4 linked regions of the Arabidopsis thaliana genome follow. The main gene of each other region encodes a partner of the protein of the gene in region 4 in a complex. Each region holds a gene or a part of one and is shown on either strand. Other genes may lie near its edges. The genes, in order: MED8, AT3G01435, AT2G10440 and AT3G10820.

What was found.
Region 1: AT3G10820 (region 4) and MED8 share a complex: the UniProt entries of both Arabidopsis thaliana proteins name them as parts of the mediator complex.
Region 2: AT3G10820 (region 4) and AT3G01435 share a complex: the UniProt entries of both Arabidopsis thaliana proteins name them as parts of the mediator complex.
Region 3: AT3G10820 (region 4) and AT2G10440 share a complex: the UniProt entries of both Arabidopsis thaliana proteins name them as parts of the mediator complex.

What each region holds. Positions count from the first base shown.
Region 1 is NC_003071.7:903,805-909,808, reverse strand, and holds MED8 (mediator subunit 8), read right to left. Parts: upstream 4,297-6,004; 5' UTR 3,985-4,296; intron 3,859-3,984; 5' UTR 3,832-3,858; coding exon 3,653-3,831; intron 3,563-3,652; coding exon 3,438-3,562; intron 3,344-3,437; coding exon 3,219-3,343; intron 3,151-3,218; coding exon 2,967-3,150; intron 2,862-2,966; coding exon 2,778-2,861; intron 2,657-2,777; coding exon 2,601-2,656; intron 2,511-2,600; coding exon 2,241-2,510; intron 2,153-2,240; coding exon 2,096-2,152; intron 1,779-2,095; coding exon 1,572-1,778; intron 1,485-1,571; coding exon 1,434-1,484; intron 1,337-1,433; coding exon 1,273-1,336; intron 1,190-1,272; coding exon 1,017-1,189; 3' UTR 537-1,016; downstream 1-536. UniProt on the Arabidopsis thaliana protein: Component of the Mediator complex, a coactivator involved in the regulated transcription of nearly all RNA polymerase II-dependent genes.
Region 2 is NC_003074.8:165,975-169,834, forward strand, and holds AT3G01435 (uncharacterized protein), read right to left. Parts: upstream 2,315-3,860; 5' UTR 2,132-2,314; intron 2,080-2,131; exon of another isoform or gene 2,057-2,079; 5' UTR 2,011-2,056; coding exon 1,744-2,010; intron 1,056-1,743; coding exon 879-1,055; 3' UTR 540-878; downstream 1-539. Other genes in the region: AT3G01430 (NHL domain protein), read right to left, coding at 1-163; PnsL3 (PsbQ-like 1), read left to right, coding at 2,504-2,780, 2,925-3,211, 3,335-3,433. UniProt on the Arabidopsis thaliana protein: Component of the Mediator complex, a coactivator involved in the regulated transcription of nearly all RNA polymerase II-dependent genes.
Region 3 is NC_003071.7:4,013,238-4,020,038, reverse strand, and holds AT2G10440 (mediator of RNA polymerase II transcription subunit), read left to right. Parts: upstream 1-1,992; coding exon 1,993-2,114; intron 2,115-2,451; coding exon of another isoform or gene 2,452-2,478; intron 2,479-2,613; coding exon 2,614-2,716; intron 2,717-2,802; coding exon of another isoform or gene 2,803-2,869; intron 2,870-2,966; coding exon of another isoform or gene 2,967-3,025; coding exon 3,026-3,138; intron 3,139-3,228; coding exon 3,229-3,353; intron 3,354-3,396; coding exon 3,397-3,789; intron 3,790-3,831; coding exon 3,832-3,926; intron 3,927-4,018; coding exon 4,019-4,093; intron 4,094-4,217; coding exon 4,218-5,189; intron 5,190-5,276; coding exon 5,277-5,591; intron 5,592-5,668; coding exon 5,669-5,833; intron 5,834-5,875; coding exon 5,876-5,994; intron 5,995-6,076; coding exon 6,077-6,287; downstream 6,288-6,801. UniProt on the Arabidopsis thaliana protein: Component of the Mediator complex, a coactivator involved in the regulated transcription of nearly all RNA polymerase II-dependent genes.
Region 4 is NC_003074.8:3,385,617-3,391,547, reverse strand, and holds AT3G10820 (Transcription elongation factor (TFIIS) family protein), read right to left. Parts: upstream 4,349-5,931; 5' UTR 4,191-4,348; coding exon 3,822-4,190; intron 3,711-3,821; coding exon 3,642-3,710; intron 3,529-3,641; coding exon 3,446-3,528; intron 3,149-3,445; coding exon 3,096-3,148; intron 3,018-3,095; coding exon 2,896-3,017; intron 2,784-2,895; coding exon 2,756-2,783; intron 2,672-2,755; coding exon 2,388-2,671; intron 2,304-2,387; coding exon 2,222-2,303; intron 2,138-2,221; coding exon 2,044-2,137; coding exon of another isoform or gene 2,043-2,043; exon of another isoform or gene 1,920-2,042; coding exon 1,886-1,919; exon of another isoform or gene 1,640-1,885; coding exon 1,572-1,639; intron 1,396-1,571; exon of another isoform or gene 1,312-1,395; coding exon 855-1,311; 3' UTR 545-854; downstream 1-544. Other genes in the region: AT3G10840 (alpha/beta-Hydrolases superfamily protein), read left to right, coding at 112-341. UniProt on the Arabidopsis thaliana protein: Component of the Mediator complex, a coactivator involved in the regulated transcription of nearly all RNA polymerase II-dependent genes.

The sequences.
Region 1 (6,004 bases), on a different chromosome or scaffold from region 4:
GTAAAACCTTAGAAACATCTAGATGATGAGTTTAGATGATGGGCGTTATAATGAGCATCCATCTTTATTCATAACAAGTTGAGGTTTGTTTTGGGTTTTTTCCCTATAATAAAGCATTTATTTCATATAATATATAGTAAAATATTTATTTTATATAAAATTAATTTAAAGAAAATTATGCATTGAATATTTATATTAAAGAAAATAATATATCAAATCAAAGCCTTTGAGATGATGAGTTCAATTATATCTTTAAAACTTTTGAATACAAATATATGTTATAGTGAAAACGTTTATAACATATGCAAAATCGCACAAATAAATTATATTGTGTATTATTTTAAATTTTATAAATTTATTTTGCATTTTTTGAATGTGCACAATAAATTGTAAAAATAAGCGATTTTGAGTGATTTTTTCGCAAATTCCTAAAAACCAAAGTAAACTAGTTTTTCATATTTGTAACAAAAGCAAACAAAAAATTTAAAAGAAATGGTAACTAAATTTCAAAATTTGATTGAGGTAACTAAACGAGTCGTTGAGCTAAATAAGTACATAAAAAATGAGTATATAAAATTAAGTTGACAAGAAACAAAACAAATTGTCAGAAAATTTAATAGCTTTCGAGTCGCAGTTTTAAAGCTCTCTGTTTAAAGTTCAGAAAACAGGTAAACTTCATAGACACGTCGCTCTCTCGAGTCCCGTGTACAACAGAAACGCGTCTTCGTTTTGTCTCTATAACCCCATCAACGGCGTCGAGATGTTCACGTCGATGCCACGTGTCGAATTCTCAATAAACATGTCAGAACGAAAACAATCCTCCACCGTCCAATCTCTGCTTCACGTTTTTAACCTCATACAATGATACAAGTAAACAAAGTGTACTAGTGTAGTGTGAAAGTACCATACAACTAGAGAAATCTGGTGAGTGTATTAATGTTAAAGAATGGGCCAGGCCTTTGGTACTACAAAATACAGGCATCGGCCCATTACAAGCCCAAATTATTTAAAAGGGGTTATTGAGGATTTTGGTGCCTTTGTTGAGCATTCTGCATCATGTTATTAGGCTGTAGACTCTGCTGATTCGTCTGCATATTTCCATAGCCTCCTTGTTGTTGCTGCTGCTGCTGCTGTTGCGATTGCTGAATTTGTGTTTGCTGTGTTTGCATCATTCCGCTGGTGTTAAACACTGTAAAGATAGGACAAATGAAATAGTCAGGGAATCGATTTTGATGTAAGAAAACATGTTTTAGAAGAGATTTGTTTACTTACTCTGGTCACCCAACATTTGAGACGAATGGCTTCTTTGGGGATTGGTACCCGAAACTCCAAATTGCTGACAACCATAAAAATCCAAAGAGATCATCAGATTAAGACAATGTTCATCGTTCAGATTTGGGAAACATAATGAGTAGAGGAGTTTTTGAGCTAACCTGCATCCTAGGAACAAGTGTCTGAGATTGCATAGATGACATGTTTGGTATCTAGAATTAAAAGAAAAAGTACGTAGAAAATATGATTAGTAATTGTTTCGAATCATCAATTCAAGAGGTTAAAGAGAGGTGACTGACCATTTGGCTACTTGGGGAGCCTTGTGCAGAAGTAAACAATGCACTATTGGCTCCACCTGAAAACTGGTTTAAGTGACGGTTCATCGCTGGATTGAGCTGTCCTTGAGACATGCTATGCTGAATATGTCCACCTGAGAGCTGTCTAGCTTGGAATTGTTGGTGCGCGCCCATTGGCTGGGAATATGGCATTTGATGTTGCCCATGTGACTGAAAAATAAGATAAAACTCACACTTAAAAGACAAAAGCTTGTTTCATAATTTCATTTGATTCTACTGTTTGAAACTACGAACTGTCACAGTTACTTTTATATAAAAGCTTCTGCCAAGTCCCAAGATCTAGGATAACTTTTCAAGAGTATGAATCATTCACTTGGTATATGTAAACTTGTATAAATACGTCTAGTCATCTTCATTTATGGCCATAACTACTGCATAATGATACAAATAATTGACCAAGGTAGTGTCTGATCCTTTTCACTTCACACATCTATCCCCTAACTATGTTGTAGTTCTATTTATCTTACCGTCTGAAACTTTTGCTGAGCTTGCCCATGCATATCATGAAGTGCTGGTATCTGACTCTACACAAAGAATTAGCATGTTGCTCAATAAAGCAGTATGGTAGGAAAAAACAGTCAATTGCTACGTCTGCAAAATGTCAAAGCCTACTTGACCCAATCCCTGCATAGAAGATTGCCTGAGCTGTTGTTGTTGTTGTGCAAGTAGTTGCTGCTGCTGATGTTGAGGCAACTGCATTAATTTTGACCTTTGCTGCTGCTGTTGAAACTGTTGTTGCTGGATTTGATGCTGAGGCGAAGGCACATTAACCATACCCGTAGCGCGAGGAGAATTGGAATATGGTAAGGGAGATGTTGTGTTATCAAAATTAGGACCAGATGGAGATGCAGCTGATCTTCCCACAAATTGAGTCCCGGAAACCTAAAAACACACAAAGACATGAACCTCGAAAGACAATGATACTAACAAAAGTAATAATCATCACAACTAGAGAGAATAAACTAGTTTAACCTGCATCATTCCTTGATTGTTAATGTTGTTTGATTGCCCAGGTAATGCAATCTTACCTAATGAAAGAGAATTTTTGGAGCCATTAACAACGTGAGAATACCATTGGTAGTAGTAACAAAATAAAGAAGATTCAAGCATTGGGTTTACTTCTACCAGACAGATCAATGAAATCGTTACCTGCATCATTGATAATTAGCACATCTGCCAGATGTGGTGGAAGTGCAGTGGTTATCTGTCTCTGGTCTGGAGGCAGTTGTGTTCCTAGAAACAACCATTGTAAAAGAACATGAGAAGGAATTCAGCAAAACAGAAAACTGCAGTTTCGTACACTATCAAATGACTCAATAAATTCTAAAACCCTCTTACCTTTACCGTCATTTACAGCATCTCGTAGCATTTTCTCCTGCTCCTGAATCTTTGCAGCTTGACCTTTATCCATAGTAGGAAGCATAGACGGGCCTTGACGAGTGCCAAATCCGTAAGCTTTACGAGTATCAGCTAATACTCTTTCTGCATTTTCACAAGCTGCTGCAATCATATCCATCCTCGCCTGTAATAACAGATACCATTTCAAAAACCAGCAAACAAATCACAACAAAAATACATTACAAAACTAACCTTAAGCCTTTCGATTTGCATTGGTATAGGCAAACTCTGAACACCTTGAAGCAACTGCTCTCTCTTGGCATTGTCATCAGTTTCCATCTCCGGTAGTAATTTCGAAGACAACATAACCGGTAAAACTGCAGATTCACTGATAAATGCTAAGCTAAACCAGTTCATCACATTCACAATTCATTTAACTCATCAACTAAAACAACTAAAAAAAGACCATACTTGCAGCGTTCATAGCATTGACGTTCTTAGGAAGCACAACAAACGCATTTGAAACTCTCTTTACTTCTTCCACAATGTTAAAAAGCTCGAGATTTACCATCGAATACTGCCCTAGAATATCCTGCCTGTTCAAAACAAAAAGAAAATCAATCCTTGTTACAAAAAATTCATAAACATCAAAATATTATCAAATTCTGGATTCGATGATGATGAACCATTTAGGAGTAGTGTTGGTTCGACCATAAGCGTCGAAATCTTCAAGGATTCGAGCAATGGCTTTGGCCAAGCTAACGGCTCGTGTCTTCAACGACTCCAGATTCAGTTCCTTCTCCAGTTTTGGATTCAGCTTCTCAGCTACCGGAGGAGGAGGTGGTTGCTGCGGCTGTGTCTCCATTGATAACACAGAGCTAATACACAAACCCTAATTCCAAATTTAACGTAATTAGGGGTTTTTAACATCACAGCGAATTGAACAAATTAATTAGGTTTCCGATTTGAAATTGACACAAAAGTTTCGATTAGAAACACACACAAAAGAGAAACTTACGAATTAGAAAACGAGGAATGCGCAAAATCTCGAAGAAGGCTTTGATTTGGAGAAGTTAGTTATTGGAGAAGACGAGAGAGTGTGTTTGAGAAATAGAACCGGGAAATATAATAACATACCGAATCCATAACATATATATGTGTTTCCTCTTTGAAAACTTACAAGGTTGCAACAAATAGACAGAGCGGATAAATCCGTTTGCAGACTAGACCAATATGTCGCTAAGACGGACAAATCTGTTTGCGGAGTAGACCATTATATTTCTAAGACGGACAATAATCCGTTACGGACCAAGTTTTGTTTTTTTGCTTTCAAATAAACTATTTGTTGGTCCGTAATAGAGTTTTGCGTGATTTGTAGATATAACACTTTTTTACTAAATAATTAACCAACTAACACCATAAATTTGTAAATGTAGTAAATAACCTTCAAGGAGAGTAAAAAGACATCACTGTCCTGGTGTTACGCTTCGTCAGCGAAGAAGGAGAATGATTAGTGTGAGCTGACGTGACTTTATTATTGGTGTTGAGGTGAGAAGAGAAATAGGTGGTAGGAGAGAAATTCTCTTTTCTCTTTCTTTTTTCTTTACTCCTTTTCAATTGTAACTCATATTATCTGATCTTAAAAAATTTAATTCAAGTTCATGATATATCTATTAAAAAGTTGTATAGTTTTCTACAAATATCATGACTTAAATTTTTGAAAATAGACACAAAATAATTTAGATGTGAATAGTGTTGTCAATGAATAACATAACGTTCTATATAAATTGACAATATTTTTTGATGGAAGTATACTAAACCCTAAAGGGATAATATATAGGGAACCCAAGGGTTTAAATCTAAAACATTAATGAAATCACTTAACATCTTTAATCAAAACAAACAATTCATTTTAAAACGTATATAGAACAAGGTATACGTAAATAGTATACTATTTACAAAATAGAATAGTATCTCTCAAAATGCAACAACGGAACTCAATTTCATCACCAATACACCAAGCGCAACAACGGAACCCTATTTCATCATCAAGTGCAACAACGAAAGTCAATTCCCTGAACCTAACTTGTGTTCCTCGCTCTGTAATTCGAAACCCCCAAATCAAATATCACCCTAAAGTAATTAAGAGACTCTAATTTGAAATAAAAAACAAGTAACGAGGTAGGTGTAGGAACTTTATTGGGAGGAGAAAGAGAGAGGGGGAGAAAAAAAGAAAGAGAGAGAAAGAGAGAGAGAGAAAAAGATAGAGGGGAGAGAGAAGGGAAGAGAGAGGTAGACGGAAAGAGATAGAGGGGGTAAACTTGGAATTAATATATAAAATATAGAGGATATCATTGCTTTTTTTTTTATGCTAGTTTCTTAATTATATTTTTTTTTGGTTAGTTTTCCAATTCCCCTAGAGTTTTTATATTTTTTCCTATTTACTAAACTGCGGACCAAAATTATGAATAGTGAATAAAAAACGGTCTTTGTACGCAAGTTAGTCCGTCCCATTGTAAACCCACTCAAGGAAATGGTTCTTACAAAGTAAAACTATTTAAGAAGATATTAGTAACTTGTGTGAAAGATACTGTTGGCTTTGTTGATGGTTCTTGGTGATTCAAAATCCTAGAAGAATCATCCAATGTAGTCTCTCTAACCCATAAACATAAGCTTCCTTAGTTCATCCTACATAACTTGTAAACTTTTGTATAAATCACTTAATAAACAAGAGTACTTTGAAGACAAAAACAAAAACAAAAATGTAGTAAACATTGTTTTGTTTGTTTGTTTTACATTGAAAGAATGAAAAAGAATAGATACAGAGGCTAGAGTTTGTGGGAAGGGAAGGAAGAGAGAGTTTCTCATCTTTTGGCTGTCATGGCGTTACTTTGACAGCCCTCCAAAGACACTACTAACTTTTATCGCCGGAGAAATATGGAAAACCTCAAAAAATCTCATCTGACTGAGAAATTATGTATAGAAAAGAATTAAGTGACATCTATTGAAGATATAGAAAAAATAAATGAACACGTATT
Region 2 (3,860 bases), 3.2 Mb from region 4:
CGACGGTCGTGATCCGTTGCCACCACACAGATCCGCCGCGAGTTGATGGCTGAGATGAGGCAAGGCAGGGCATGAGGAAACAACAACCTCGCTTCGCGAACAACGCCTCGTGCATATCGTCGGTGGCATCAACTTCAGCGATCGGCGGCGATTGATGACTCATTCTCAGAGAGAAACAGAAACGAAGGAAATATGGAATTTCGTCCTGATCTAGCTACTCTCTTTTGTCTCCTTAGATCGTCGTTCCTCTTCTCATCTCCAACTCTAAACCCTAATTTTCTCCCTCTACCCAAGAGATTTCTATCACCTTCTCCAATCAACGCGTCTCTTGAGCTGTAACTAAAACAGAAGAGCACAAAACGGCGTAACCGCCAACCCGGCAATATTGGTTCTCATTAACCCTTTTTAACCGCTTTGGTTTTATCACATCTAACCGGGAATTTCAGCTGTTGATGCTATTAATTTATTAAACCACATATGAATGAAGGGGTTCATATACGTAATTGACGTTAGCACATTTGGTTCCAAGTATTGATCGATACATTAAACCGCAATAAAATTGGTCCGTTTCTCTCTGGCCCAAAATTGGTTCGATTTCTCCATAAGCTGAAATTGATAACTCCCAGTGGATGTAATGTATCTAATATTCTTGGAACAGATTCATTGCAAGTGAATGTTCTAACCAAAATCACCTAATCTTTTTGCAAAATCTAATATAGTAAGTAGGATAATATCTTACTTTTGCAACAAGCCACTCATTCGTAAAAACCGGACATACTTTAATGGGATAACCTACAAGTCTACAACTCATCTGGAAACTATATCACAACCGATGGTTTAGTATAGTTCTTCAAGTAACCTTTTTATGAATACCAATATCAATCAGAAGAAGGATACCGGTCAGCAGTTTGTTTCAGATCTTCAAGCTGCGTGAGAACATATTCAAGCTTCTGGAAGCAGATCTCATTGGCTATTCTCGCGTTGTAATCGCATTTCTCAAAGGGACGGTACTCGCAAGCGCTTTTGATCTCTTCCCTTAGTGTCACTTGTATATCCTGCAAGTTTCACAAGAACTTCATCTTATTATGGATTGGCGATAACATTATAGCACATTTATGTACAGTCAAAGATCAACAAGTTCATGAACCAGACAATGAAGCTGATATCTTCAAACTTTATGATTATCTCTAGAAAAAAAGCAGAATCAAAAGCTTTTTACTTGTTCACAGAATGTAATGATCCCTAATCTAGACATGTGTCAAATGAGAGCCCAAATGTTCTTTAAACAGTGAGATTCCATCCAATATGAAAATATCAGCATCCATCACTCATAAACCTTAAGCCTAAGAATAAAGGATCAATGTCAAATCCTAAGAAACAGGAAAGGAATACAAACCTAGAGATTGTGATACATGAACCCATATGTTAACTAGTCACAGAAGAATCACAAAACGAGAAGCAGCGGCCATCTTGAAGACTAAAACCAAAATCAAAATTCTAAACAAAGCCCTTAACTTTGATCAGGAAATGTAATGAACCCTAATATAGACTTGTGTCAAATTAGCCCAAACGATCAACACTCGAGAAAAGATACCAATTCCCCAGAGAGATTGAGTCAGCAAGAACACTAATCTAGCTAGACTTGTGTCAAGTGATCCCCAATGTTCTTTGATCAGGTAGTTTATTAATACACTAATGCAAAAGAAATCAGAAAATATTTGAAGAAGAGATAGAGTAAGAAACCTTCATAGATTGCATAAACTCTCGGCAATGGCTGTTGACGAACTCTTTCTTGGGACCAGAAGGGCTCGCGAGTTCTTCCATCACTCCACCAGCTAGTTCCAAAACCTTAACAACTCTCTGCCCGGAAAACCAAAAATAAAAACACAAAAACACATTCACATCAAATCGTCCAATAAAATCTCTAAGGAAAGAGTGAGTTTTCCAAAATTTCACATTCTCAACATTCTGGAGTCGCTGCAACGAAGTGTTCTGCGTCTGCGGATCCATTGGACTCTCCACGATTTCTTTTAGACCAGAGAGAGAGAACTCCAAACTGAGATATATCACAATACCGTCAAATCCACTCATACACATACCCTAAATACTCAAATCGGAGCAGTGGGAGTACCTCAATCGAACACGGCGACGCGAGACAGTGAAGATGGCAGAGACGATGAAATAACACGGAGAATTTCGATTGGAAACGGCGTGCTTATGATCAGCAACGGAGGGAAGATTTTGGGGAATCGGCGACACTCGGCAATACAGATCGGTGAAGGAAAAAGCAAAGAAGATACAAGTTTTTTTTGTCACGTAAAACGGCACGAACTCTACTTTATCAATTCAGGAACAGCGAGTAGTTAAAATATTGAATTACGAAAACACCCCTTGGTTCAGATAAAATCTTTGTGATGGCCGCTTTTCTCATTTATAACGGATAAAAACCGTAAACAATACACAAGAACAGAGGCTGACACCTAAAGCTTACTCTCTAACTGCAATGGCTCACTTCATAGACCTCAACAGTCTCACCAACACTTTACCGTCTCTTCCGAAACTACCCGAGAGTCGTAAAACCGGGAAATCCAGCGGGTTTGCTTGCAGGAGAACTGAAGAATTTCAAGAACCGGATTCGGTACAGATCACAAGACGGATGACATTAGGATTTGCTGTCTCAATAGGTCTTACCGGAATTCTCGGCGAAAATAATGTTTCCTTGGCACAAGACAATGGGTTTTGGATTGATGGTCCTCTTCCAATTCCTCCTATTTACAACAGTAAGCGCCATTTTATATTCTTGATTGTTTTCTTTCTTCAAATGTTTGAACATTTTGAGCCATACAACTATTCAAGATGAGAATTCGATTTGGTAGAATCATTTGATTTCCGGTTTTGAATTCGTCCTCGATTTGAATATACAGATATCGTGAATGAGAAGACGGGAACGAGAACATTCATAAAGAAAGGAGTGTATGTAGCGGATATCGGGACGAAAGGAAGAATGTATAGAGTTAAAAAGAATGCTTTTGATCTCTTGGCAATGGAGGATTTGATCGGACCAGATACTTTAAACTATGTGAAAAAGTACTTGAGGCTTAAATCCACATTTTTGTTTTACGATTTCGACAATCTCATCTCTGCTGCTGCCTCTGAAGACAAGCAACCTCTCACTGATTTAGCCAACAGATTGTTCGACAATTTCGAAAAGGTAAGTGTACTAATGAAGTCCTGGTTCGTTCAAACCGAAGAGACTATTGTTTTTTTAAAATTTCTTCTCTTTTCTGATATATCCTATATGTTTATTTGTTGTTTTCTTGGTGTTTCGACACAGCTTGAAGATGCAGCTAAGACGAAGAACTTAGCAGAGACGGAATCGTGTTATAAAGATACAAAGTTTCTTCTTCAAGAGGTAATGACCAGAATGGCATGATCCTGGTTCGGTTTATACCGGTTTACTTGCTATTGATGATCCTACATGGTTGATAACTCTGTGGTCATAAATTGTAATCTTTGCGGAAAAATATTGAGATCTAGTAATCAAAAAAAAAAAATGTAATGTATAGACCAAAATATGATCAAATTTATAACGAATTGGATTTTAATTTTTCAATCAAAGATACAGAAAGAAGAGTATATGCACTAAATGTTTAATATTGAAATCTTAGTTTTAAGAAAACATTTGGCCAAAAAAAAAAAAAGTTTTAAGAAAACCAATGTAATATAGACTAAAACATGATATATATCAAATAAACCGACTAACTTTTTGCCTAAAACTAACGGTTGAGTCGTTGAGATTTATCTTACCACATCGACATATTCACACACAAAATAAAGAAACAAACCCATAAACCAAAGAT
Region 3 (6,801 bases), on a different chromosome or scaffold from region 4:
CCAATGGTTCTTGAAACAACTGAAACCTATAAACATTGATGCTTCTTCAAAAACCACCAATCCAGTAACTTAAACCAAAAATAGTCGCAAACATCGATATAAACAATACACTGACGCTAATCCAGAAGATTCATAGTCGTGAATTACCTTAATACTCTGATTCAATCTTCGAGATGTATCCGGCGATGGATTCTGGCGGAAGAAGCATGAAAGGGAGCTGTCTCGGCGTGACTGGAGACGGCGAAAGGAGGTAAAGCTAAGACCCAATTTCTCATTAAGCCCATCTTCATTAAAAACAAGACCTAAACGTGAGAAGTGTGTACGTATGTATATAATGTCTTCTTCCTCTCGCCGCTTATGTTACGAGCACGCAATGTTAACCTTATCAAAATCATAGAAATTTGATCTCAACTCTCAAGTCACCATCATCCTCCACTATCGAGTTCACCATCGTTGTAGTTTGTGGTTGTGGTCCCGATCGTGTTAAGTGGTGACGTGAAGTTATCGTCACGTAACATCCAACCCTAATCATCACCATCTGAGCCACTATTAGCCTTCTTCGTCCTCCTTCTTCACCGGAATCTAGATCTATCATTGGTGCTTTGTTTGGGTCTGTGATACCGAATCCTCTACTTCTTCGTTGCAGAGTGAGATAACGGTGAAACCTTATTCTCGTATTCATGTTAAGGTGTTGTGTTGTTTAATTATTGAACCAACCTAAACCAAGGGATTACGTATAGTTACGGCCATGAATTGAAACTTGATTATTAAGGAACCTTTTGAGTTGATCGGTTATGGCGTCAGTTGGGTTGTGTTAGTGAAGAAGACGATATAGTCAGTTATTGGCTTATTAGAAAGCGTTGGGTTAATTGTCAAACCAGAAGTAGCATTGACATGTACGTGATTTGAATTGTGGCGTTGGTTTAATTATTAAACCGGGGAGTATTTGGTCACGTAAATGGATGTGGCGTAGTCAATTACGTGTTAAGCAACTAATATTAAATTATTAGACTTGGTTTAGTTATTAGATTAAATAACAAATTATTAAGGGAATATAATCTTGATTGATTAATCTAAATTGTTGTAGTTTGAGATCGTTGTTGAGCCGGATCCATTGTTGCTAGTCCTATTTCTTAAAATCCAACCGAGTTGCCAAGGTGAGGGTAGGATCTGTGGAAACATAGTATCACCTTTACTTTTGTATTTCTGAATTTCATTTGTATAAGATTAGACATTGGGTGCTGATTGTTAAAATGTTAGGATTATATATTAAATATTGTTGATTCAGTAATCAAACAATGAATTTGTACTAAGGGATTTAGACAAATTCACTCCTCTCTTAGCTCACAAATAATCAAAGGAAAAGAACTAGGTTGCTTAAACAAAAAGCTAGGGTTTGCTCTGTAATAGTAGTCTCTTGTATTAGGTTAAAGATGATCTCAATGGGGGGTTTGACCCCTCTATTTATACAATAGGTCGAATATACCAAAATATGATAAACTTCTAATTATCTTAGGTTTAAATCTTCATTACTTCTATTCTTCATGAGATCCTCTTCTCTTAAATGGAAGTTTTCCCTTTACACGACCTAAGAAGTTGGTTATGGCGATCTTGATTGTCGACTTAAGTCTTCGGGCGATCTCATGACTTAGGCCCATTAACAGGCTAACCGGGATACCCCGGTTCAATCGAATTCTCGATTTTATTCACATTATTCCTCGGTTTAAATTAGTATTGTCGGAGGTGCTAATTCCTGCACCAACAAATATTATAATACGTGTTGTGTGATATTATGCGATAGGTTGTTAGCGTGATATGCATATTGATTTTTGAATACTCTTTTGTCGTTTTCTTGTACTATATATTTATCTGTTTTGTGTTACCATGTTGAGTAATTTCTCTAATCATTCTTTTGTTTGTTTGTTAAGGTTTAGCGAGGCGGTTCTTGGTCAAAGCCTATACATACATCTCCCCGTTAGGACGCATAACTTAATGGAGGGAAATACTAACTGGAAGCCTAATGAACAAGGCGGAAACCGTGATGCTGCGAATAATCGTATTGATTGGAGATCACAACATGAGCCTGAATTACGGCAAAAGGTTCTTTCAAAAATGTAAGCCATTCTTTCAAGAGTTTCATGTTTCTTTTGTTGGACTCATTGTTCTTATTTGATTATTAACATTCATGAAAGAGAGTAAGGTTTTCTTGGTCATGCTTTCGATGTGATATTTGTAGTTTGCGCATGATAAAGATTGCAACAGTTAAAGCATAAGAGTTGTGCATAAATGTTTATCATAGTTGACAAAACCTAACTTCAACCTTTTGTACTTTAAGTTTTGCATATTCTTTTAACCTCATTACCTGCATTTAGGCTCTTCCTCACTAGGAGAATCTTGTTTTACTCTCGCTTCTATGTACAATTGCTTGGCACATATGTATAATTGTTTCAGTGTTTGTTCGCTAAACGATTATCGTAAGTTCGAATATTAACTACGGATTATTTTCTCTGTTTTGTATTTTTAGTGCAATTAAAATGGTATCACTTCCTCTTGAATATCAGTTATAACCAAATTCTTCATAGTCACTGATATTTTGTTCTCATGTATGTGTAGAGTTGAAAAGTTCAAGGAAAAGTTTCATGCACATGAAGAATATAAGATTAACGACATCGCTTCCAAATTTGAAGAAAATTTTTATAGCATAGCAACCGATAAGGTGTTAAACTACAAATTGTTTCTCCATCTATTAACTTCAGAATCTGAATTTGATATCTTACTCATTGTCCCCTTGCTATGTTTCAGAATGATTACCTTAGGAAACTCAGTGAAACACTGCATTATATACAGAGAACTTACACTAGAGTTCTAGGTAATAAGTTTTTGGTTTCATAATTATACTATTTTAGCTTAATAACAAAGAAATCACTAACTAACTTTTTTTTTCTATGTGTTTATCTAAACATCAGCTTCTCAAGTAGTTGTGAATCAAGCTCAATCTCTTCCCGCCTTGTTGCCATATATGCAGACTACAACGAGCCAACAATGGTTACAGCAAAACACACAGAGCAATCTCTGTGTCATCTGCTTTGCCAAGTCAGGTCCCTATAACCGTTCCCGGTTCTCAAAGACAGATACATGGTAGGCAACAACTTCTTCCTCAGCAGCAACAGCCTCAAATGAATCAAATCCGCCATGGTAATTTACGACCTTCGCACATGCAACAACAAGCTCGGTCACCGCAGCCGCAACATCATCCGCAAAGTTTGTTGAAACAACCTATTCAACAGCCTTTTCCTCAATCAAGCTAACAAAACACTCAATCACTGACCAGAAATCAGTTTTCGATACAACGGGTCAGTTTTAGTCATCAACAACAGATGGTTCTGCCGTCTCAAGAACAGAAACGACAAGAACAAGAGCAACTCATTAATCAACTGACGAATCTTCCAACATCACGACCAAACAATAGAGACCAACAAGGAGCTTTTCAGGTATCCTCGTCTCAGCAGAACAATAATGTTACCTTACATGCAATGTCTCAACAGAAGAATAACCTCCAAAGTATGACTAGAGGTCAACAAGTAGGACAATCTCAACCAATGATGTCACAACAATACCGACAACAATACCCCATGCAGCAGGATCCTCAGAACAGAAACTTACAGAAACATTTGGATTTTGTACAAAACAATACCAATCAATTTCAAGCAGCAAGTTCGTTGCGCCAAACACAAAACATAACAGATCAACAGAACCAGCCACAACAATTAGAGAGAGCAAATCCATCTAGTATGTTTCCTCTCTTACTAACTCTTGTGATAATGTTTTTAGTTCTAATAATGAATATCATTGTAGCATCTCAAGATTCTACGGGAAAGACGGTAAATGTCAATGCCGGAAACTGGCAGGAGGAGACCTATCAGAAGGTATCTTCACTTGCTTTGCTCTTCACTTCTTAACATCACAATTAGGGTTTGATTTTGTTTTCAATTGATTCCCATTCTGATATGTCCTGCAGATAAAAAAACTGAAAGAGATGTGTTTACCTGTTCTCAGTTTAATGCACCAAAGAGTTGCGGAAAAATTGCGGGAGGTACTTTATTTTATAACCTAATTGTTTTGCTTGTGGAACAAGAATTTGTTCTAATGGTTTTCTTAATCATTTTTTTTTCTAAAACTTTGTGTTGTTTTTGGTTTAATAAACCTAATGTTTCCAGACTGAATCTCTTCCGCCGCAACCGATGCAAGCTCAGTGGATTGAAAAGCTAAAGGCGGGAAAATTGTCAATGGAACACCTTATGTTTTTCTTAAATGTTCATAGGAGCAGTGTATCAGAGAAACATAGAGACAAGTTTAGTCAATATGAGTACCACATATTGAAATTTACCAAGAGTCAGACCATGGTTTTGAGGCCAACGCAGCAACAACAAGGACAATTTCCTCCTTCTCAAACAGCAATGCAAACCCAAAGTCCTCAAGTCCATGTGTCACAGTCTCTTTATAAGGAGCAAAGGAGATCACGGTTGATGCCAAGTAGCCAAAATGAGGCCTCGTCTTTGTTGCAAATAAGGCCTAAGTTGGATCCAAGAGACGAGAACATCATTATGGCTTCCTCAGGAAATGTCATGTTACCTTCTGTTAAACAAAATCCTCGGGCCGTAAACACAAATATCAGTTCGGTTCAGTCGTTGCAGAAGCAGAAGCGATTCCATCACCGACAAATGCAACAACAACAACCACAACAAGGGAATCATCAACATCAAATGCAGACAAATGAGATGAATGATGTGAGGATGAGGGAGAGGGTCAACATTAAAGCCAGGTTGCTTGAGCAACAAGTCTCATCGAGTCAGCGCCAGGTTCCAAAGCAAGAGTCTAACGTTTCATCCTCTCAGATACAGAACCACTCTTCTCCTCAGTTAGTTGACCAGCATATTCTTCCTGCGACGATTAACAAAACCGGAACCCCATTGAACTCTAGTGGTTCGGCTTTTGTTGCTCCAGCTCCATCTCCAGTTCCTGGAGATTCTGAAATGCCTATATCTGTTGAGTCTCCAGTTTCTGGTGTTGATGAAATAAACTCAACTTTAGATTCTTCTAGTAAACTTGGCACACAAGAAACTCCTCTGTTATTTGTTCCTCCGCCCGAGCCAATCACAGAGCGGCCTATTGATCGACTTATAAAAGCGGTAAGTAAACTCTATAGCTTATCTAAGTTTACTTTCTTTACCTTCTCCTATTTACTGACCTAATTTTTAATGTGTGTGGCTTTCTAGTTTCAAGCAGCATCACCAAAATCATTGGCAGAATCTGTAAGTGAGATTAGCTCGGTGATTAGTATGGTTGACATGATTGGAGGATCGTTCCCTTCTAGTGGAGGATCTAGAGCTGGTTTAGGCGAGGATTTGAGTGAGAGGACAAGAAACTTTACCACACACGAAGAAACAAATCTGTCTAAGAGAATGAAGCGATCAATCAACATTGTGCCGCCAGATATGTCATCACAAATTGATAGTTATGAACAGTTGAGTAGCCTTGAATCTGAAGTTGTTTCCACAACATCATCTGGCTTGAAAGTTAACAATATTGCGGTAAAATCTACTCTATTGGTATCGAACTACGAAAACAAATGAAACATCGAAATAAATCCATTTTTTCAATCTTGTAGCCTGGTTATGCCCTTTTGCAAGAAATCAAAGAAACAAATGGGAGACTTGTAGAGACAGTGGTAGAGATATGTGATGAAGATTCTTTAGGAACAATCGTCACTTGTACTTATGCTCCTGTGGCTCTCAGTGCCACATTCAAAGATCATTACAAGTCTGGAAAAATTGTAAGTTACTTCAAACTTCTTCTTTTTCCTCACTCTGCTCAGATTTTTTATGTCTCTAAATGTTTGATGCAGGCACAGATTCAACCTTTACGCTTACTATTTCCTATGGATTATCCGTATAGTTCTCCGATAGTTCTCGAGGAAATCTCCTTTGACACTAGGTATGAATCTTTCTTAGAAATCAAGTAACAACGATTGGAGTAAATATATATGATCTTAAGGATTTATATCTGCATGTTTCAGTGTACACAAGTATGAGGATCTATCCGCGAGAACCAGATCAAGGTTCAGTTTGTCCATGAAGGAATTTTCAGAACCAGGGTTTTCGAAAGGAATAGCTCAAACGTGGAATGATTGTGCGAGAGCGACAATGGTTGAGTACGCAGAGAGACATGGTGGAGGCACTTTCAGCTCCAAGTATGGTGCTTGGGAAACGGTTCTAAGAGCTTCATGAGGACTAATACTTCCTTTCTCACTCACCGTACAAGATAGTTTTTAGGTGGGAAGCCTTATAGCCCAAGTTAGGTTTTTTTTTATTTCCTTTGAGATAGAAGTAACATTTATTTGTATGGTGTGGCTCATGTCTTCTTATTGTATATATTTTAACAAGAAATTATAATTGTTTCAAAACCGATAGTATAATAAATTATCTTGAAATATTTAGGCACAAAGCCTTTTTTTTAAAAAAGATTTTAAAGTATTTTATTGTTTTTTCTTATTACATGTTTCATTTATAGAGCCCAAAAGGTTGGAATATAAGTTTTAAAAAAGGATTACAGAAAATGAAGCCAAGCCTATAAAACTAAATCATCCTTAGTAATTTAAACATCCACTCATAAAGATTTTGCTGATGAAACGTGTTGATGAAGTGTTTTGCCCTATGACACGGGCCGAGACGTCAAGCACCGCTGTTGAATTCGCGGGAAACCGCTAGAATTCACCAAAATGTTGAGAATCGTCTTTCCTTC
Region 4 (5,931 bases):
ATCTCTTTCTATAAGATTCTGACAATGAATTAGAAATTGGAACCAAATATTGTGCATTGTATGTCTGAACTCTGAACCAATGACATCATACTATCTTCATGTTTCTAATAGTTCTGATTGTGACGGGAGATACGGACCGTATTGTGCCAGCATGGAACGCAGAGAGGCTGGCACGAGCCATACCGGGATCAGTGTTCGAAGTAATTAAGAAATGTGGTCATCTTCCTCAAGAGGAAAAACCAGATGAATTCATATCTATTGTTGCAAAGTTTCTAGGGAATGCTTTTGGAGGGTCACAACAACAAGACGTGGACTTGAAGTTCCAAGGCATTGTATCATGAAGTATAACTATATATTTTAGCTCAATCAAGACTAAATTTTAGAGAGATTCTTCATGTTATTGGACCTGAAGAAACAAATGTCGACAATATCAAAGACTAGATAGATATAGAATAAAATAACCGAGAGACATTGATTCTTCAACAGATTGATATATAAGCGAGAATAATACACCATGTGGTGCTTCTTGCGAGTGCGGGCAAGTTTTGCAGAGTCCAGTTGATTAGCTTGGAGCTTGAAGCTGGCTTGAAGCTCCAACTCGTCAAGCCAACGCAAAGTTTCTGGAAGAACAAAGTCGGCAACATTTTGAAACTCAAAGCGAGGGGTGCAAAGGACTGTGCAGTCTTCCTCAGCCAAGAGGGCGACATGCTTCTTGTTCGTCAGAGTAGCAGCAGTCTCATCTTCCAGATTCTTCTCATTCGCCTGAGCCATGTACTGCCTGAACTTTTCGAGATAAGCCAAACTAGGGGCGCATCTCATTGCAATAGTAAACATGTAACCAAGAGCATCCACTTTCAGGCGCTTGCACTTGTCCAGTGAATCACAATCTCATGCGGATACTGTGAATCAGTTTCCTTGCATATAGCAACTTGTTGGCGAGCAAGAGACAAGTGAGTAGGATCAAATCGCTGATAGAGGAGGCCACCGGGATGAGTTCGATTGCGGGGAGGAAACTCTCTAGAAACCTTAGAGAGCATATGCATAAAGGTTTTCCCTACGCACCTAACCGTCTCGACGGAAGTCTTATGGATAAGGTCAAACTTAGGGCAAGCCTTGGCCTCGAACCTGACAAAGAGTGATCTCGTAAGGTCCTTGAGAGAAACAGATACGATGGCATCAACAAAATCCTTTTCAGTTAGAAGGACACTCATCTTCTTGAAAATCATCATCTCATCCACCATCTCTGCTTTATCTATCTGCACAAGTACGAGTCCAAAATATACAGGAATATCAATCATCAACTCATCATGTCTACATATGCAGCTAAATTTCAATTCTATGCAATGCAAACAGAGACCATTGTTTTACCAAACCTATGCTCTCACTTATGTTTATCAATAAAGGCCACAAAATTAGGGCTTTTCGATTTCCAATCAAAGACTTTCGGTTGTATCCCCGACGTACAAAATCTAGGCCAGAATTCTTAACAGCTCAACGTTTAACCCATCAGGTTTATCGATAACTAGCACTAGGAAAACAAAATTTACAACAAGGAAAATTGAAGTAGGTACCTTGAGAATTGGGAGGAACTATCACGAGGATTCGCGAGATTGAGGATGAGGGAAGGTAACTCGTAACCCTAGGAATTTATCACTCTGTTATATTTCACCTCATAAGTGATATTAAAAATTACAAAATCTTTGTATAAACAGATTTAAAAAGTTTGCTTGCCTCGCAAGTTAGGTTTAGGGATGGTCAAATACGAGAAGCCCTTTTGTCCTAATAATTTTCTTTTTTATTTTCATAATGAAACATGAAGAAAGTGAAAAAGGGATTTTCCCTTGTCACAATTATGAGGTTCTATTGTCACAAAACCGGACCAAACCGGGAATTCACTGGACCAGAAGTACCAATAAATACTGGGACAAAAGAATAGAGCATCCTAAGAAGTTTATGTTGGATCTGTCAATGCACTTTTGTTGTATATTAACGCCTCTGAATGGTCGTAGTAATTGTATAGATCATCCGAAGGAAAAAATGGACTATCTTCGTGTGGCGGGTCTCTTGAGTTGCGGTTTCTGAACTTTATTTTGCTTTGGGATAGTTTCCAGTACTTGTATCGTCCTCTGTCTCTTAGCTGTTCAAAAACAAATGGGTCATTAAGAATTAGGTGTATTGTAATAGTGGAAATATTGAAATCTCTTAAGACGATTTGACTAACCATTCTCATGTTGGTGGTAGCTCTCTTGGAGTTTCCGCTTTGCAAACTCAAACTTTGAGTCTGGATCCAGAGCTTTGAGTTTCTGAACAAAGACAAGAACACTTGCTATTAGAAACAAAACAGATTAATAATCAAACACCACGGCTTTATTAACTCAAACACTCACATCTTGTTGAGGTCCAGCAAGTTTCCGCTTTTGCTCAGTAACAGCAGTTGGTTTTCGTTGGATTGCGGATACCATTTGTTCTCTACTTTGCTTTGTTTGTCTTTTAGGCTCGACAACATCTGTGGCTGAGTGCTTCATAGGTCTAACATCAGCTTCTTCTCTCCTCGTCTGTTGATCATTGCAGTACCTCCCAACCACATTTGCATCATTTGTTCCCTTGGGTCTCCTCCCCGCACTACTTTGCGATTTTCTTTCATGTTTGGACTCCACACTGTGACGAGGATCTGAAAACAGTGGCCACCATGAGTGTCAAAATATAGGAAAACTTTCAAGTAGAGAACAGAGTACCAAAGAGTATACTAACTCACTTCCATCGCAGTCCAAACAATCTAAGATCTTCAAGTGACCCAAGACATTATGAAACAAGGACGAGGGAGGAAACTTGTCAGGATAACATTTCGTCTATGCCAGAAATAAAATATGATGAGAGGGAAAAATGTTAATAGACCTGAGAAAGTTCAAACCCATTAGGTTCAGGTGCATAGATATCTAAATCATGTGGAGGAGAAGGAAAGGCTTCTTCTTCATCAATTACTGAAAGGTTTAGAGACTCTGGCGTCCCTTCAGTGCCTGCAAGACCCAATTACTATAAATCTAGACCAAAACCTGCTCGCACTGACTACGGAACAGGAGGAGAGAGCTATTTACCAGCCATTTCCTCTGGGGTGTTCATCCACTGGTCCACCAGCCTCTTCCACTCTCTGTGCATCCCATATATAAAAACACAATCTTTATACTCGGGAGCCAGAAAGTAAGGAAGAGTAAAATGTTCTAAGTATTGAGCTAACACAAGAGCAGCTCCCTAATGATCAACCAAGGCTTTTATAATGACATTTTACAATTTGAGACATCCTACAAGGCAACTGGTTTGCATCTAAATCAAACCGTGGAGGTTCAATTTTTTTGGAACATTTTGCCAAAGTTTAATTCACATCACAGATGCGAGAGTATGAGAACAAATGAAACTAAGCACACAATGAGAATGATGAAACTCATACGCGAAAAGAGTCTTTGCAAGTTTGCTAATCTTATCGGAACTATGTCTCCTCAGACCATTAACAGCCTTTCCAATTTCAGTATCCTGCAAGAACGTAAACACTTAAATCACTCCACAGCCTCGAAAAGCTCCATCAGAATAAGCAACTTCCACTACACCAAATCATACAATATCAAAACAACACCAAAAAAACAAACCTTAAGAATGTCCACACTCATAGACATTGACTCAAGCTTTCTCAGAGATTCGAGTAACACAGAATCTTTCTGCAAAAAAGATGACAGAAACCAAAAACTCAACAATCAACACAAAGATTCCAAATTTAACCAATGAATTAGCACAAGTTTTAATGTAATCCAAGCAAAGAGACTAAAAACCTCATCGTCTTTGTTCGACAAGATATCTCTGATCCTCATAACCTCATCAACACTCACAGACGCCTCTTCACCTTCACCCGTCGCAACACCAGAATCACCCCTATCACCGCCGCCGCCAACTCCAACTATCTCCACCGCCGCTTCGTCTCCAGCTATCGAGAGCTCAAGGTGGTCACAACCAATGCAGCGACTCACTTTACAAGAGAAGAGAAGCTCAGCAATTCTATCACTCCTGGATTTAAACTCCTTTGGCCAATCTGCAGCAGCTACCATAATCGCATGATCAATGATACCAAAAATATCAGAATCTCCTCGCCGGAAATACTCTCTCCAAGTATCCAACGAAACAGATGGTCTCATCTTCGCCATCACGAAACGGCGAGGGAAAATCGATTCCGGAATCCGAATTCCTCGATCTGCAAAACCCTAATTAAATTTGAATTTAGGTTTTTGAATACGAATCAATATAGTACTAGTTGTGTAGTTTTTTTTTTTTTTAAGTTTCTCTGCAGGAAATAAAATTCGCCTGAGAATCTGACAAAAGTTTCTGCAGAAAGTCCACAAGAACTTTCCCGAGAAAACTTAAAGAAACAGAGCTTGAGCCAATTAAAAGAGGGCAAGAGAAGAAGACCCTAGAATTTTAAAAAGCCAGAAATTTATGTCGACATTAAAAAACTTAGGTTATAAAAAAAAATGGTAATAGTTTTGATCATTTATCTTGATAACTCATCTGTTTTATTTAAGTAAAATATTGAATTTGTCAATATATATATTAATTCTAAAGATATAGGCTTATGATTAACTGAATGATTATTTAGTTAATAGTAAATTAGTAATAACTAGACTATACATGTGTCGTCCTATATGACATAATGACCCTTGATGAAAAACACGTCACATGGCCTAGCTAGTATAAAGATGGGATATTCGTTTTTTTAAAGTTATGTTATCAACATTACATTCAGAGCATACTGTAATAGTAAATTATTAACACATTACACATGTCCTGATACCAACAATGGGGTACTCATTTTTCAAAGTTATGGATAATTACATTTATCACGTGAATTACTTGAAAGGTAATCTAAATAAACGCGTTTTTGGTGTCGCAATTATGTCGTTTTAAAAAGCATTGTTCATAGTCCCACAGATGTTTAGCACTATTTTTTAATTAGTACTAGTATTAAATTATTATTTTTGTATTTTTTTCATTAAATTTCTCGTTAGTTTCGTGCTTTGACTCTTTTGTTAAGCTTCAGCCACATGTTCCCGTTGTTGAAGCTGTCTTTTGAAGTTTCGTCGTCGATATCATCCTCGACTCTATTTTCAGTTGCGTTAAAGACTTCTCTTCTTCCAAAAGTTTCCTTTTCTTCTATTTTAAATATTCTTTCAGCACTTGGAGATTCACAAGTTTGTCGGATCAATCCATTTTAACTCCGGTAAGCCATACTTGCATGATTCGTTTTGTTTCCACCGATCACATGTTATCGTTTATGCTCCATAGCTTAATCTTTGACTCATTCATGATCTTTTTTTGGTTTAATGTTAAAACCCATGCATGATCTTGTTTCTGCATATTTTTGTTTTGGTTCAGTGTAAAAATTTCTGCATAATTTTGGTTCTACAAAAATAGCTACTATGCAAAAGCAAGATCACGGGGTCAAAGATTAAGCTATGGAGCTTAAACACTACTTGTATTTGACTATTTGTTTCTACGTCATTTGCGTTTGATTTGAATCTAAAGGCCTTTTAATCGATTTCTTGTCATGTGTTTGTAAGGGTTCAGTGTTTTATGTATCTTTCAAATTGTGCTTCTAGTGTATCCATTTTGGATTTGTGAAAGTTGTTTAGGGCTTATATATCTAAAATTGTAAAACCTATTTTAAATTAATATAACAAAACAGTTTCGGACTTTTAACTCATAATATCTCTTCGAATTTAGTTCATTTTCCAACTTTGAAATTCGTTGGCTTGTGATCTTGAAGCCTTGTTCCGTCCGGAATTTATGTTACTTAGTCACCAGTAGAGTTACAAACGATGAGTTATTTTAATCTTTTTTCTAAAAGGTCCTTGACAATGGTTTGACGAGAAAAAATCGTTTTTCCTTTTT